2 linked regions of the Ovis aries genome follow. The main gene of each other region encodes a partner of the protein of the gene in region 2 in a complex. Links are inferred from orthologs where the notes say so. Each region holds a gene or a part of one and is shown on either strand. Other genes may lie near its edges.

Evidence for each region.
Region 1: the proteins of BBS7 (region 2) and ARL6 are in contact, whole or in part, in a cryo-EM structure (PDB 6VBV), measured with the Bos taurus proteins. The link is inferred for Ovis aries from reciprocal best matches to the Homo sapiens genes BBS7 and ARL6. Residues at the interface, in NP_001178275.2 of Bos taurus: Leu3, Ile249, Val250, Gly251, Asp300, Gly301, Tyr302, Asp303, Thr319, Glu320, Pro321, His323, Lys324, Glu325, Ser326, Gly327, Pro328; in NP_001069250.1 of Bos taurus: Met132, Asp133, Arg135, Thr139, Ser140, Val141, Ser144, Trp157, His158, Ile159, Cys160, Ala161, Asp163, Lys166.

Annotation. Positions count from the first base shown.
Region 1 is NC_056054.1:162,973,875-162,981,175, reverse strand, and holds part of ARL6 (ADP-ribosylation factor-like protein 6), read right to left. Parts: intron 5,629-7,301; 5' UTR 5,602-5,628; coding exon 5,479-5,601; intron 1-5,478. UniProt on the Homo sapiens protein: Involved in membrane protein trafficking at the base of the ciliary organelle. Mediates recruitment onto plasma membrane of the BBSome complex which would constitute a coat complex required for sorting of specific membrane proteins to the primary cilia.
Region 2 is NC_056059.1:3,709,460-3,717,207, reverse strand, and holds the start of BBS7 (Bardet-Biedl syndrome 7 protein), read right to left. Parts: upstream 4,685-7,748; 5' UTR 4,554-4,684; coding exon 4,518-4,553; intron 1,771-4,517; coding exon 1,705-1,770; intron 1-1,704.

The sequences.
Region 1 (7,301 bases), on a different chromosome or scaffold from region 2:
TTTTCACTGATTAATTTCCCCCTGCTCTATTCAGGAACAAATACATTTGATGATTCTCTAAGTTGGACAGGGGATGTTTACAAACCAAGGGAAGAGTGCAGGAATTAATACCTAAGTGGATTAGGCCATCTGAGACAACCCAGTAATAGACCAGTATCAGTAAGACTAGAACAAGGTTTTCAAGAGAGGCCCTATTTGGTAAGTTTTACTAAATCTGTTGAAAATGATATCCTTGGTATGATTAATAATCATTCCCTGCCCAAAAATGAAAATTAAAAAATCACCCATCAGTCCATTTGTACAAAATTACATTTAACTATCAAGAAATATTCTAGGTATTTGGGAAATCCCACGGAGAGAAGCCTGGCAGTCTACAGTCCATAGGGCTGCTAAGAGTCAGACTTGCCTTAGTGACTAAAACAACATTATTGAACAATGTAAGATCTATGCTCTTATGAATTTAATTTTATGATGAAGAAAATGTAATAACTGATCAACTGAATATATGAAGCAATTTCAGATTGTTTTAAATGTTAAGAATATAAAACTGGATGACAAGATAGAATGAGAGCGTTTATGTTAGGGAATGGGGCAAAAGTTAGAATTTTAGAAGAAAGGTGTTAATAGAGCACATCTCTTAGCATGACACTAAGACTAGATTCTTGAAAAGTTATCAGGTTAAAATTACCTCTTTTCTCTCCTTATCAGTTTAGAAAAGATCAGCAACTTTAACATATTAACAACAAATGAACATTAAGAGAGCTTAATGTTAAAAACCAGTTTGGATGCAGGAAGTATCTAGTTATCTAGAAACTGACTTTATCCCTCTGCAAAAACATATAAGAGACTATTTTACTATAAAATGAGACTTGTAATTTCTTTCAAGACATTTCCTAATAGAGGATCATATATTTCTATTCAGTTCAGTTTAGTCGCTCACTGGCGCCTGACTCTTTGCGACCCCATGGACTGCAGCACACCAGGTCTCCCTGTCCATCACCAACTCCCAGAGTTTACCCAAACTCATGTCCATTGAGTCGGTGATGCCATCCAACCATCTCATCCTCTGTCGTCCCCTTTTCCTCCTGCCTTCGATCTTTCCCAGCATCATGGTCTTTTCCAATGAGTCAGTTCTTTGCATGATGGGGCCAAAGTATTGGAATTTCAGCTTCAGCATCAGTCCTTCCAATGAACACTCAGGACTGATCTCCTTTAGGATGGACTAGTTGGATCTCCTTGCAGTCCAAGGGATTCTCAAGAGTCTTCTTCAACACCACAGTTCAAAAGCATCACTTCTTTGGCGCTATACTTTCTTTATAGTCCAACTCTCACATCCATACGTGACTACTGGAAAAACCATAGCCTTGACTAGACAGACCTTTGTTGGCAAAGTAATGTCTCTGCTTTTTGATTTCTATTACTCACCTCAATTCATTAAAAATAATATTTCTCATAGTGGATATAAGCTCACAAGAGACTGTTCTTGGGTTCAAAGGTACGGAGGAAGCAAGTGTTTTATCTGTGCCTGGGTGACAGGTTTTAGGGCTTTTAAGAAGTCCCATTTCAAGTGTCCTCTTGGCTATAATCATGAAGTTGTTGTTGTTGTTGTTTTTAAGTAAAACAACTTACTCTGCTCTCAGAAGGTAGAGGTCAATTGCTCTGAGGAGACAGGATAGTTGCCTAAAGATTAACGCTCAGAAAGTGGTGTCAGAAATTAGATGATCCCCTTAAAAATAGCCCTGGAGTTAGTCTAGGCTAGTTCCATAATTCACCAGTGGTAGCAGAGAGATGCATATGCTGGAAAACAAAAGATTAATTAAAAAGCCTCAGTAATTGGCTGCATGCCCAGATGTTCCTGAGGGCTCTCCCTGACTAGTATAATGTGTTAGGCAGGGTCAGCAGGTCTTGCACAGGACTAGTCTGAAATTGGGATATTAGATATTTTAAGATGGTAGACTGAGCTCAAGATGCCTCCTTCCCCTGCTGCCCCAAATGATCAATAATGTTTAGAGAAGAAAGCTGTTCCCATCCATATCAAAGATTATTCCTACAGTAATAACCATGTCTTGGGACAGAAGATCACTATACTGTTGGGGATGATGGAAAGAGATAACATAATTTCCATTTTGTTCTTTGAATGTCATTTCTGCCAATCTGAGTACAGTAGGCACCAGGGGGCTGACACACTTTGGTACTATTAACTGTGGCTCTGGTTTCCATAATTTTGTATTTATTTGACACAACTTTTACAAAAAAATTTCTTTTGAAGATATTCCTGGATGTAGAAAAAAATGGAAATCTCTCTTATAGAATAGGACCTTACCTGAAGAACTTCCTTATAATCTTGCTCCCTATGCTACTAGGCTTACCTGCAGAAGTGCTGCACATCACCAGCCGCTAAGTTTCTTAATATTAGCCCAGGTTGATCCACTGACAGCCAAACCATCCGTGGAACTAATTATGGACCCAACCACAGCTGGGTATGGTTCTCTAAATTCAATCTGGACTCCATTCAAGTGGGTAGGGGAGAACACAATGGCACCCCACTCCAGTACTCTTGCCTGGAAAATCCCATGGCCGGAGGAGCCTGGTGGGCTGCAGTCCATGGGGTTGCTAAGAGTCGGACACGACTGAGAGACTTCACTTTCACTTTTCACTTTCATGCATTGGAGAAGGAAATGGCAACCCACTCCAGTGTTCTTGCCTGGAGAATCTCAGGGATGGGGGAGCGTGGTGGGCTGCCGTCTATGGGGTCGCACAGAGTCGGACACGACAGTAGCAGTAGCAGCAAACCTAGACAAGCAGGGTATTTCCCTAAGGAGGAAAGCTTGAATTCTAGGACATGAATCATAACTCAAGACAGTGTTAGCAAGTCCTCTGGCCAGAACTAAACCTTGCCCTCCAAAATTAGTATTTCAATAAAACTGGAATTTTTTTTTAATCTCTGATTTTAGCGCATCTATTTCAGCTGATTTCCAACTTGACTGGAGAGCCCCTTAAAACACCTAAATTACCTTCTAACTCCATTTTCAACTTCTTATCCCAGCTGCCTCAAACTAACTGCCATTTGAAAATACACCAGTAGTTAGTTGTTTCACATGGCAAACTCTCTCACGTGGAAGAAGGGAATGATGACCACAAGAAAAGAAATGATGGCATTTTTGTAATTTGAGAGCAATCTCAAACTAAACAGAAGTAAAAATGAAGCTGTTGGGGAAAAGGTGGTGGGGGACAGTAGGAGTTCTTATTCTGCCCAACCTGAAGCACTATTTGGAGGCAATTAAGTCCACTTTCAATTACCATATTTAGGAGAAATGCTTCCTACTATCCAGCCTGTCAGTCATTAAGAGCACTAGTTTCCTAATTTTGAAACATCTGCTCGATTTATGGTGGGCTGCTGTTTATGGGGTCACACAGAGTTGGACATGACTGAAGTGACTTAGCAGCAGCAGCAGCTCAATTTATATGCAGGCTATATATTTTTTCATCAACATTTTCCATTGATTGACTAATGGTTTTTATCTAGATAAAAGTATTTACAACTGTCAATGTTAACTGTTTACCTCTATCTACTCTCCTATTCTTTCATACTTTGTTGTTGTTTAGTCACTAAGTCAAGTCCAACTCTTTGCAACCCTATGAACTGTAGTCTGCCAGGCTCCTCTGTCCATGGGATTTCCCAGGCAAAAATACTGGAGTGGGTTGCCATTTCCTTCTCCATAGAACCTTTACAACCCAGGGATCAAATTCACTTCTCCTGCACTGGCAGGTGGGATCTTTACCACTGAGCCACCAGGGAAGCCCCTCTTTCGTACTTACAGGACCCCTATTACTAATGGAAGCAGCAATATGTCCTGCTTTAAAAAAAAAAAAAAATCCAGCCTCATTTACAGATAGGGTAGCCAGTGAGGTGAAAGAATAGGTAGTTGAGGCTTCTGAGTAAGTTCCTTAAAGAGGACTTATTTGGCAGGAAGACTTATTCTTTTGCTTGTTCTTTTCCCATCCCTGCAACTTAAGATATAGACGGCATATTAAAAAGCAGAGACATTATTTTGCCAACAAAGGTCTGTCTAGTCAAGGCTATGGTTTTTCCAGTAGTCACGTATGGATGTGAGAGTTGGACTGTGAAGAAAGCTGAGTGCTGAAGAATTGATGCTTTTGAACTGTGGTGTTGGAAAAGACTCTCAAGAGTCCCTTGGACTATAAGGAGATCCAACCAGTCCATCCTAAAGGAGATCAGTCCTGAGTGTTCCTTGGAAGGACTGATGCTAAAGCTGAAACTCCAATACTTGGCCACCTGATGCAAAGAACTGACTCACTGGAAAAGACCCTGATGCTGGGAAAGATTGAAGGCAGGAGGAAAAGGGGACGACAGAGGATGAAATGGTTGGATGGCATCACCAACTCAATGGACATAAGTTTGGGTAGGCTCCAGGAGTTGGTGATGGACAGGGAGGCCTGGCATCCTGCAGTACATGGGGTCGCAGAGAGTCAGACACAACTGAGCAACTGAACTGAACTGAGGATAGTTAACTAAGATGGCCATGTGGAGATTCCGAAGACCCTGAAGAAAATCAGGCACTAAGGATAGCAGAGAGGAAAGATGGAAGGTGCCTGGACCATGCAGCTGCCACACCAGCCCTGGAATATTTCTTCTGGACTCACTGAGATGACAGAAAAAGAACCCTCCATCTTCAGTCCACCATTATGCGGGTTTTCTTTATATAAAGCAGAACCTAATTGTAGCTTATACTTCCCAGATGGCACAGTAGTAAAGAATCAGCCTTCCAATGCAGGAGGTACAAGATGTTTGATCCCTGGGTGGGGAAGATCCCCTGGAGTAGGAAATGGCAACCAACTCCAGTATTCTTGCTTGGAAAATTCCATGGACAGAGGATTGTCAGGCTATACTCCATGGGGTTGCAAAGAGTTAAACAAGACTGGGCACACAGCACGACTGGGCACACAGCACAACATAACTCATACATTATGTGGTGAATGTGCTAGCTTATATATATATTTCACTTATTTAAATAATACATTCATGTACTTATGACTTACATGACTTAAAGTCATCTTGCTTGCTACTACCGATACGCACGTAACACTCTTGGGAAACTGGCTAATTATCCACAGAATCTGTAAAAATGATCCACCTTTCCCTTTGTTTTGCTCCTCTTGTAAAGAGAAAGTCAAAACGAAGGCAATGCTACCTGAACGTAAACTCCACAAATTTTTGAAGAGCTTTTGAGAAGGAAAGGCATTTGGAGAATATTCCAGTTTAAATAGTCAAGATTTACCTACATATCAGCATAAAATACACTTCATGTTATGGCTGGCTGATACTTATTACTTTACTAAAGGTATCACAAATTTAATAAGATTTCATAATGTGACAATGATGTTACAATGACAGACAAAATAATCCTCCATTAGCTTTAGCAGAAAATACATAATGTATCTAATAAATATACTTACATTTGTAGGTTTAAGTTTATTAATGATTGTTGTTTTGCCACTATTATCCAGCCCAAGGCACAAAACATGAACTTCTTTCTTTTTGAGGCCAAGCAAGCCTGAAAGTCTGTCTAGCAATCCCATAATGTGAGGCAAGGATTCACAAATCAACTGCAAGTCAGGGGGAAAAAAAATTAACACGGGCATCTTAAATATGGAGAATATAAGCATATGTACCCCAAATTTTTAGAATTTAAAGTCAGTGATATTGTGAAAACCATGTCAATGTAGCTTTGCATTTAGTAAACAGAGTTTAAGCTGATTACCAGAAAGGAGTCTTAACTGAAATGCAGATTGGCAGCTAATAACCCCCAGCAACACAGAATAATGCCCTTGAAATAACTGTACATTTCTTATTGTAACTTATAATACTTAAGAACAAAATGTGATTTATTTAGTATCCTATGGAGTCTACCATTTGTGATACTTGAGAATATCTGCAGCCTTTTCTGGAAATCTGGAAATATATGGGTAGTGATGTTCATATGGAGCCTGCTGCTCAAATAGAAAGTAGAAGGCAGACCAGAATAACAAAAAAACTGAAATTTTAGGCTGCCTCATTTGAGTTCACTGGTTAAATCTTTTTCTAAAGCTAATCCCATTGTTGAATTTTGCAATAATATGAGGTAATAAATATTAAATTCACCATTTTTGTTTGCTGACTATATTCAGTTCAGACAGAAACAAAAAATCCTGATTTATCTTCATCTTAACTTTTTCTTTGTCCTCACATATCTTGGTAGTTTTGTAAGTCAACACAAATCCATTTGGGAAGGTTATGTATAAAACATATACATACAAACTGAGTATTGTAAAGTAAAATAAAGTAAAAATAAAAATTAAAAAAAATAAAACACATACACACAAACTGAACCTTAATACATTTTTGTTTCTTTGAAACTATAACTTATATGAAATTATCTGTTAAGTATTTTTAAAAGAATTTTAACTAGTGTACTAGTGAAGAATATGAGCGTAAATACCCATCTTACATTTTAATCTCCTTTTCTCAAATACTATAAAGATTTCCTTGTTAATCTGTTCCTGAAGTCCCTATTCATTTATTAATTCTTTGAAAAAAAATCCTTCAAATGCAAACTTTCAAAAAAACTCCATCAGCAACGCAAATGTGTAAGTATTTTGATGTCAAGTAAAATTACTGATGACATATGGCTGGCTATGTGATAACTTTATGGCTATTCATACCCTTCCAAGGTACTGTTAGATTTAGACTTCAAATCTCCAAATGAAAATCCCCAAAGGTACTTCCTTTGGGGAAACCACCATCCCAGTCCCTCAAAACATTAAACTGTGGTGGGAGAAGAGAGATACATACCTCTTTCGGCAGCCCTCAACTGTGACAGGGACTGCTACGGCAGTAACCACTATATACCTGTATTCTAAACATTTCCTATTACTCTCCAAACCACCATTTTCAAAGTTCTCTAAATACTAGTCTCATCTCTATCTAGAAACTTGCCATCTTACAGCTCCTTCAGTATTGCTTATTCCATACCAAAAAGGCAAGACCATACCTTGAAGGATGTGAGGATGCAGCAACTTGAAATAAGAAGTTTCCAAGACAACTACATCTGAAAGGAGGCTGCATCATCAGTTTCGGTTAGGCCCCTTCACGGATCATTATGAACAGAAATTTCAAAACTGAAATTGGAAAGTGATGCGCAGAAGGGAAGTTGCAGTGCCCTAACCAAACACAGGGCCATGGTTGTCTTACCCAAGGGATGGGTTTCATTTGAGATACTCTGCTTGTGTTGCTTGAATCG
Region 2 (7,748 bases):
TGATTTACCTAAACAAAAACTTTTGCACAGCAAAGGGAACCATAGAAAAAAACGAAATCGATCAAATGGGAGAAAGTATTTGCAAATAACATGAGCAATAAGGGCTTAATATCCAAAATATATAAACAGCTCATACAACTTAATATTAGAAACACAACCTGATTAAAAAATGGGCAGAAGACCTGAATAAACATTTTTCCAAAGAGGAAATGCAAACAGCCAACAGGGACATGAAAAGATACTTAACATCACTAATCATCAGAGAAATATAAATCAAAACCACAATGAGATATCACCTCACACTTGTCAGAATGGCAATCATCCAAAATAACATAAATAACAAATGCTGACAAAGATGTGGAAAAAAGGAACTCTTGTACTCTGTTGGTGGGAATATAAATTGGTGCAGTCACTATAGAAAACAATATTGAGGTTTCTCAAAAAACTAAAAATAGAACTACTATATGACCCAGAAATGCCACTCCTGGGCATATATCTGAAAAAACCAAAAACATGAATTCAAAAAGATATATGCACCCCAATGTTCATGGCACTGTTTATAATTGCCAAGATATAGAAACAACGTAAGTGTCCATTAATAGATGAATGGATAAAGAATACTACTCAGTCATGAAAAAGAATGAAATTTTCCCATTTGCAACAACATGGATGGACTTAGAGGGCATGATGTTTAGTGAAATAAGTCAGACAGAGAAAAACAAACCATATATCATTTGTATGTGGAATCTAGAAAACACAACAAATTAGTGAATATAACAAAAAGTAGCACAGTCACAAATACAGAAAACAAACTGCCAGGGGTTACCAGTGGGGAGAGGGAAGGAAGAGGGTAACACAGGAGTAGGGATTAAGAGATACAAACCAGTATGTATAAAATTAGGTACAAGGATATACTATATAACACAGAGAACAGAGCCAATATTTTATAATAACTATAAGTGGAATACAATGTTTAAAAATTATGAATCACTATATTGCATACCTCTGACTTACATAATATTGTATACCAACTATATTTCAATAAAAAATAAACAAAATAATAAAATGATCTTAAAAATACTATAAATGAGTCCTAAGACCAAAAAAGTTTGAAAAGTGTTGCTTTAGTAGACTGAATACAATAAATGATAATCAAAAATCTGTTGATTTATCTTGATAAAATGTATTATATGGTAATACTGTATTTATTTTGCAGCTATTAAAGAATCCCATTAGTATACTAAGAAATTATATTGTCTTACAGAAATTTCAGGATTAATATTTCTATAAAAAATCAATATTGTTTGCTAAATATAAAGTTTAAAATAAAAATTACTCTTAAAAATATGACAAAGTTTTTTAAAAGTATTTTCTCTACAGCATATTGTGTTTTATATTTCTTTTTTCATATATACAATCTGGTATGCACAAGTACACTCAGGGAAAATTATTCCCAGAAAAATGGAACATGGTTTTCAACTAGTTTGCTAATACTATTTACTGATTGTACATGATACTTATAATGTACAAGAAAATTACTGTATATAAGTGTCCCTTGGTATTCCAACCTCTGTTCAAATTAACAGAAATCTATTTCCACTTTAGCTTTGAAATTTAAAAAACACTTGTCAATAAAGAAGAGAATATAAACCTCTCCTCTGTAAGAGCTAGAGAGATATGGAGGAATCAGTATCTCTACATTACCTTTTGTGTGGCTCTATGTTTTGAGGCAGGAAGTAGCTTCATAGTCTTCTGAGAGGTCACCCCCACCTAAGGAAACACATCAGCTGCATAGTTAATGTTTTCTAATACACTAATTTAAAGTTATACCTCAAATATTAAAAGGACCAGCAGATTCTAATCATAGTAAGCCTTAGTTTTTTCATTACAATTAGTGATATAAAATAATTCTTATCAGAAGTGAACTTATTTTCTAATGAAATATGCCACAAAAGTCAGAATATAGGAAACAATCAAAAACAGTAAAATTCATGCTATACAGTTGTCAAGTCAAATATAATTATGTGACATTACTGGCAAGGTACTTCACACGAAAAAATTATATCTAGAAGCCTTTTTTTACAACTTCAGACAGCTGTTAAAGAAGAGTTTGTATTGAAAAATCTTTAGAAATAGATTATTATTGAAAATGGAATAGAGAAGATTTTTGCTAAGACACCAACATGCTGATGACAATGACATCCAATCTAACTGATGATGAAGATTATTTTACAAAGGATACAGAAGTTGAAAACAGCATGGTTTGCTCAGCAGAGAAATGTCAGCCGTTGGGCATGGTTAGGGGAGGAGAATGGGACCAAAGGGAGAGAAATTGAGACAACAGACCATGAAAGAATTTACATATTGTACATACAGATCTATTCTGTTATTCTGTATTCTATGGAATAGTGTTAACGTTTAAACTAATCTACTTAGATTTGTATTTTTGAAACATCAGTCTAGCCACTGTTGTAAAGTATGGGTTGGAGGGAGAGGAGGATGGAGGCTATTTCCATTATCCAAGAGATGAGGACTGAACTGGGGACAACAGAGATGGAGGGAGAAAATGTGACAGATTCAACAGATACTTCCGAGATAGAAACAGCAAAATGTGGTGACCAGATGGATATGGAAGATATTAAGGTGGGATCATGAGAAACACTGGGCTGGAAGAAGCACAAGCTGGAATCAAGATTGCCAGGAGAAATATCAATAACCTCAGATATGCAGATAACACCACCCTTATGGAAGAAAGTGAAGAGGAACTAAAAAACCTCTTGATGAAAGTGAAAGAGGAGAGTGAAAAAGTTGGCTTCAAGCTCAACATTCAGAAAACGAAGATCATGACACTGGTCCCATGACTTCATGGGAAATAGATGGGGAAACAGTGGAAATAGTGGCTGACTTTATTTTTGGGGGCTCCAAAATCACTGCAGATGGTGACTGCAGCCATGAAATTAAAAGATGCTTACTCCTTGGAAGGAAAGTTATGACCAACCTAGATAGCGTATTTAAAAGCAGAGATATTACTATGCCAACAAAGGTCCGTCTAGTCAAGGCTATGGTTTTTCCAGTGGTCACGTATGGATGTGAGAATTGGACTGTGAAGAAAGCTGAGTGATGAAGAATCGATGCTTTTGGACTGTGGTGTTGGAGAAGACTCTTGAGAGTCCCTTGGACTGCAAGGAGATCCAACCAGTCCATCCTAAAGGAGGCCAGTCCTGGGTGTTCATTGGAAGGACTGATGTTGAAGGTGAAACTCCAGTACTTTGGCCACCTCATGTGAAGAGTTGACTCATTGGAAAAGACCCTGATGCCGGGAGGGATTGGGGACGGAAGAGAAGGGGACGACAAAGGATGAGATGGCTGGATGGCATCACCGACTCGATGGACGGTGAGTTTAAGTGAACTCTGGGAGTTGGTGACGGACAGGGAGGCCTGGCGTGCTACAATTCATGCGGTCACAAAGAGTTGGACACTACTGAGTGACTGAACTGAACTGAACTGACCGTGGTAATTATCTGGCGTAAGTCTCAGGTAAAGTGGCAGGATAAACATTTGTACCATTAGCCAAAAGAGGATTACTGGGAAAGGGGATGGAGAAGACGGAAAGTCTACGGCTGAAATACTGAGAGGCAGGGTGGTATAACAGAAAAGGCTTTGCTTCAGATAGGAACTGCATCAGTTTGGCTATTATGAAAATTCCCTTTGATCGTCACGTACCGACTTTTAGAATTTTTGTGAAGGAAAATATATCTGAAGTTCCAATACTTTGGCCACCTGATGCTAAGAGCTGACTCACTGGAAAAGACCCTGATGGTGGGAAAAACTGAGGGCAGGAGAAGGGGATGACTGAGGATGAGATGGTTGGATGGCATCACCGATTCAACAGACATGGGTTTGAGCAAGCTCCAGGAGACAGTGAAGGCAGGGAAGCCTGGCATGTTGCATGCAGTCCATGGGGTCCCAAAGAATCTGACACGACTGAACGACGAACAACAATATAATATATGCACAAAAGGTAAGCTCTGAGAATAAACCAGACCCTCGAAAACGGCTACCATTGCTTTTATTACTGTCCGGGTAGCCAGGTCCAGCTCACAGTAAGAAATAAGTGTCTGGCCCGTGGGACACGAGACTGGGTAGAGAAGGAGAGTCAGGAGTTTGAAGCCCACAGGTAGCTGCAGCCAGGAGGGAGGAGAAGGAAGGGCCTTGGGGAGGAATCCCGGATTGCGTCAGGACACTCAGAGCATCTTCAGGACGCCGGCACACGGGGGCGGGGGCGGGGGCAGGGCGGTGAGGCGGGGGGTGGGGGGGGCGGTTCTCCTCCTTTCCAAGTGCCCGCGGACCCGCCCCGCAGGCAAGCCTGTGCGGAAGGCGTCTGGAGGGCTCCACTCACACCCACTCCTTCACCGCTCGGCTCCCACAGACCCCAACAAACGGCAGTGGAAGGATCGAATCCTCTCTTAGAGCGGGGCTCACCACGCGCAGCGTCCGCCCCAACCCCTCAGGTTTACCTGCAAATAATCCGCTCGGTTTAGGTTCAGATCCATGACGGCGGCACGGACGCGGCGGACAGCGCCAGGCCGGCCTAGGTGGGTCAAGGAGTGTGGTATCCCAGGCCTCAGGGGAAACTGCTCGCGACTCCTTTGAGGGTAACGCCAGCTACTGTGGTGGGTTCAGTGGGGGATGCAAGGGCGGAGCGTCAGGGCAGCGGCGTCCTGCGTGACGTCAGGTCGTTCCTGCGAGTGGGCTCTGTAGGGCATGAAGCCACGCCCACCTCCCGACAGGCCGCCCACTGACTGACCCCGCTCCAATGAGAGGCGGAGAGGAAAGGAGGGCCGGGTTCAGGAGCCCTGAGAAGCGTGGTTTCCAGGGAGACCAAGACGCAGAGGAGCTACGATGCCACGACTGCGCTGAGTCCCAAGTCTTTGTCTTTGTGTGTGGAGCACTGACTTGAAGCCAGGGTAGATTCTGACCTGTTTCACCGCCACTGAAAAGGCTCCCTCAAAGAAATATGTTTCATCGCCGTAGGAGTTAGTTTACAAGGAGCAGTTCTCCAACTTTTGGCCCTAGGACCGCTTCAGTTCAGTTCAGTTCAGTCGCTCAGTCTTGTCCAACTCTTTGCGACCCCATGAACCGCAGCTCGCCAAGCCTCCTTGTCCATCACCAATTCCCTGAGTTCACCCAAATCCATGTCCATAGAATGGGTGATGCCATCCAGCCCTCTCATCCTCTGTCGTCCTCTTCTCTTCCTGCCCCCAATCCCGCCCAGCATCAGGGTCTTTTCAAATGAGTCAGCTCTTCGCATCAGGTGGCCAAAGTACTGGAGTTTCAGCTTCAGCATCAGTCCTTCCAATGAACACCCAGGACTGGTCTCCGTTAGGATGGACTGGTTGGATCTCCTTGCAGTCCAAGGGACTCTCAAGAGTCTTCTCCAACACCACAGTTCTAAAGCATTGGTTCTTCAGTGCTCAGCTTCTTTATAGTCCAACACTCACATCCATACATGACCACTGGAAAAACCATAGCCTTGGCTAGACAGACTTTTGTTGGTAAAGTAATGACTCTGCTTTTTAATATGCTATCTAGGTTGGTCATAACTTTCCTTCCAAGGAGTAAGCGTCTTTTAATTTCATGGCTGCAATCACCATCTGCAGTGATTTTGGAGCACAGAAAAATAAAGTCAGCCACTGTTTCCCCATCTATGTGCCATGAAGTGATGGGACCAGATGCCATGACCTTCGTTTTCTGAATGTTGAGCTTTAAGCCAACTTTTTCACTCTCCTCTTTCACTTTCATCAAGAGGCTCTTTAGTACTTCTTCGCTTTCTGCCATAAGGATGGTGTCATCTGCGTATCTGAAGTTATTGATATTTTCCCCAGCAATCTTGGTTCCAGCTTGCGTTTCTTCCAGCCCAGCATTTCTCATGATGTACTCTGCATATAAGTTAAATAACTAGGGTGACAATATACAGCTTTGACGTACTCCTTTTCCTATTTTGTAAAGGACGCTTTTACAAAACTCTTACAAACTGTTGAGGACCCTAAAGACATTTGTTTATATGAATTATCTGTTGATACTTATGAAAAAGAACTAAATTTCTAAAAATAATATTGAAAAGATAATGAACTCATTATGTATATATTTTAATGAAAAAGCATTCTTTTCCAAAATAAAAGTAAAAAGACTGGCTTTGTTTGCAAATCTATTGACTGCCCACCTGAAGAGTAAGCAAGGATGTCCCGGATCCACTTCTGCATACAATTTATTGGTATATGTAGTTTTTGTTGTTTTTTTTTTTTTTTTACTGTAAGTATATGAAGAAAATGAGGCCCAAACTCAACAAGTGGTAGTTTTGAAAAGTTAGTTGCAATGTGGAATGCGGCTTCATTTAACAAACAGACTTTTGAGCATGTTGTGTATGTCATCAAAGATTCCATCAGAAAAAATCTGAAGTGTTGGAAAGTTGTCAGCCTCAGATGATGGACACAAATTTTTGCAAAATTCTAATTTGTGCTTAAAAGTTTGAATTTTAAGCATTGGCAACAAATGTCAATTATTTTCCTTTAAATGATAGTTTCACTTCTTGAATTAATAAGGAAGTATATGCCAAGTATCCAAGTCTAAATAATCATAATTTGCCTGTCAGTCATGCTTTCAAAAAAAATGTACCATGGAAAAAAATCAGTGAATTCAGCCAGAAACTCAAATAATCTTACACGTAGTTTTCCTTGAAACAACTAATGTACTTCTGTATTCGCTAGAAATTCTCTGTGCAAACTTCACATATCACCCCACAGAATATTGAAAAAGATAATTCAGCATAGAGACTTAAAATTAACTATTTCCACTGCTTCATAAAGGACGTTTTTATTAATACATGAAGCATTGTTTCTTGTTGGTAACAAAGGGATGAAGAATAAAATGACTGCAACAGTTTAAAGCCCTTGCCTTGATGCATGCTTAAGTACCAGCACTATTAACCCTTGTTTTTGTACCGTCAGTACAAATGTCAACGCAGTGAAAAAGGCAAATAGAATCTTAGTATTATGAAAATACCTTCAAAATCACATATCTCCGAAAAGGCCTAAGGAATCCTCACACTGCTGCTGGCCTATAGTGGTGATCCAGGATCTGAGCACTGACATTCCTTGACTGACTTCCACCAGTCTGTCCTTTGTGCCTGTCATACTCTGCCTGCAGACATACTGCAAATGAATAAGTGGTCTCTGAGGTCTATGAGGAGAGGGTTCACAAACGATTTCTGTGGCTTACTAAGGACAGTTCAGAGATGTTTGTGAAACAAAAATTAATCCCTTGAGAAGAGTTTCTTAAGAAAAAAAAAAAAATGATTTCCTACACAGAGATCTGAGAAGGTTCTACCTCGGTCCCAGGGTATTACGGACAAATTTTTTTTCTGAGGCTAAAATAACTCTGTATGGAAATATACAACAATGCTTGAAGATGGTTTAGCTGTGCAGCAATTTGGAGAAAATATCAATTTAGACTCAATAAAAATACATATACGTTGTAGAAGCAAATAGAAAAATAAAGCCATGAAGAAGATGAAATAGAATAGTTACAGAATTTTATGGAATGTAGGGGGTTGGAAGGTATATTAGTTAAATAGGGCCTCCATATTAAAGTACTAGGAACTGAGTGGCTTACAAAACAGAAACTTATTTTCCTGTAAGACCTCACAGGCTAGGAATACAAAATCAGTGTGTCAGCAGGGAGCCAAACCA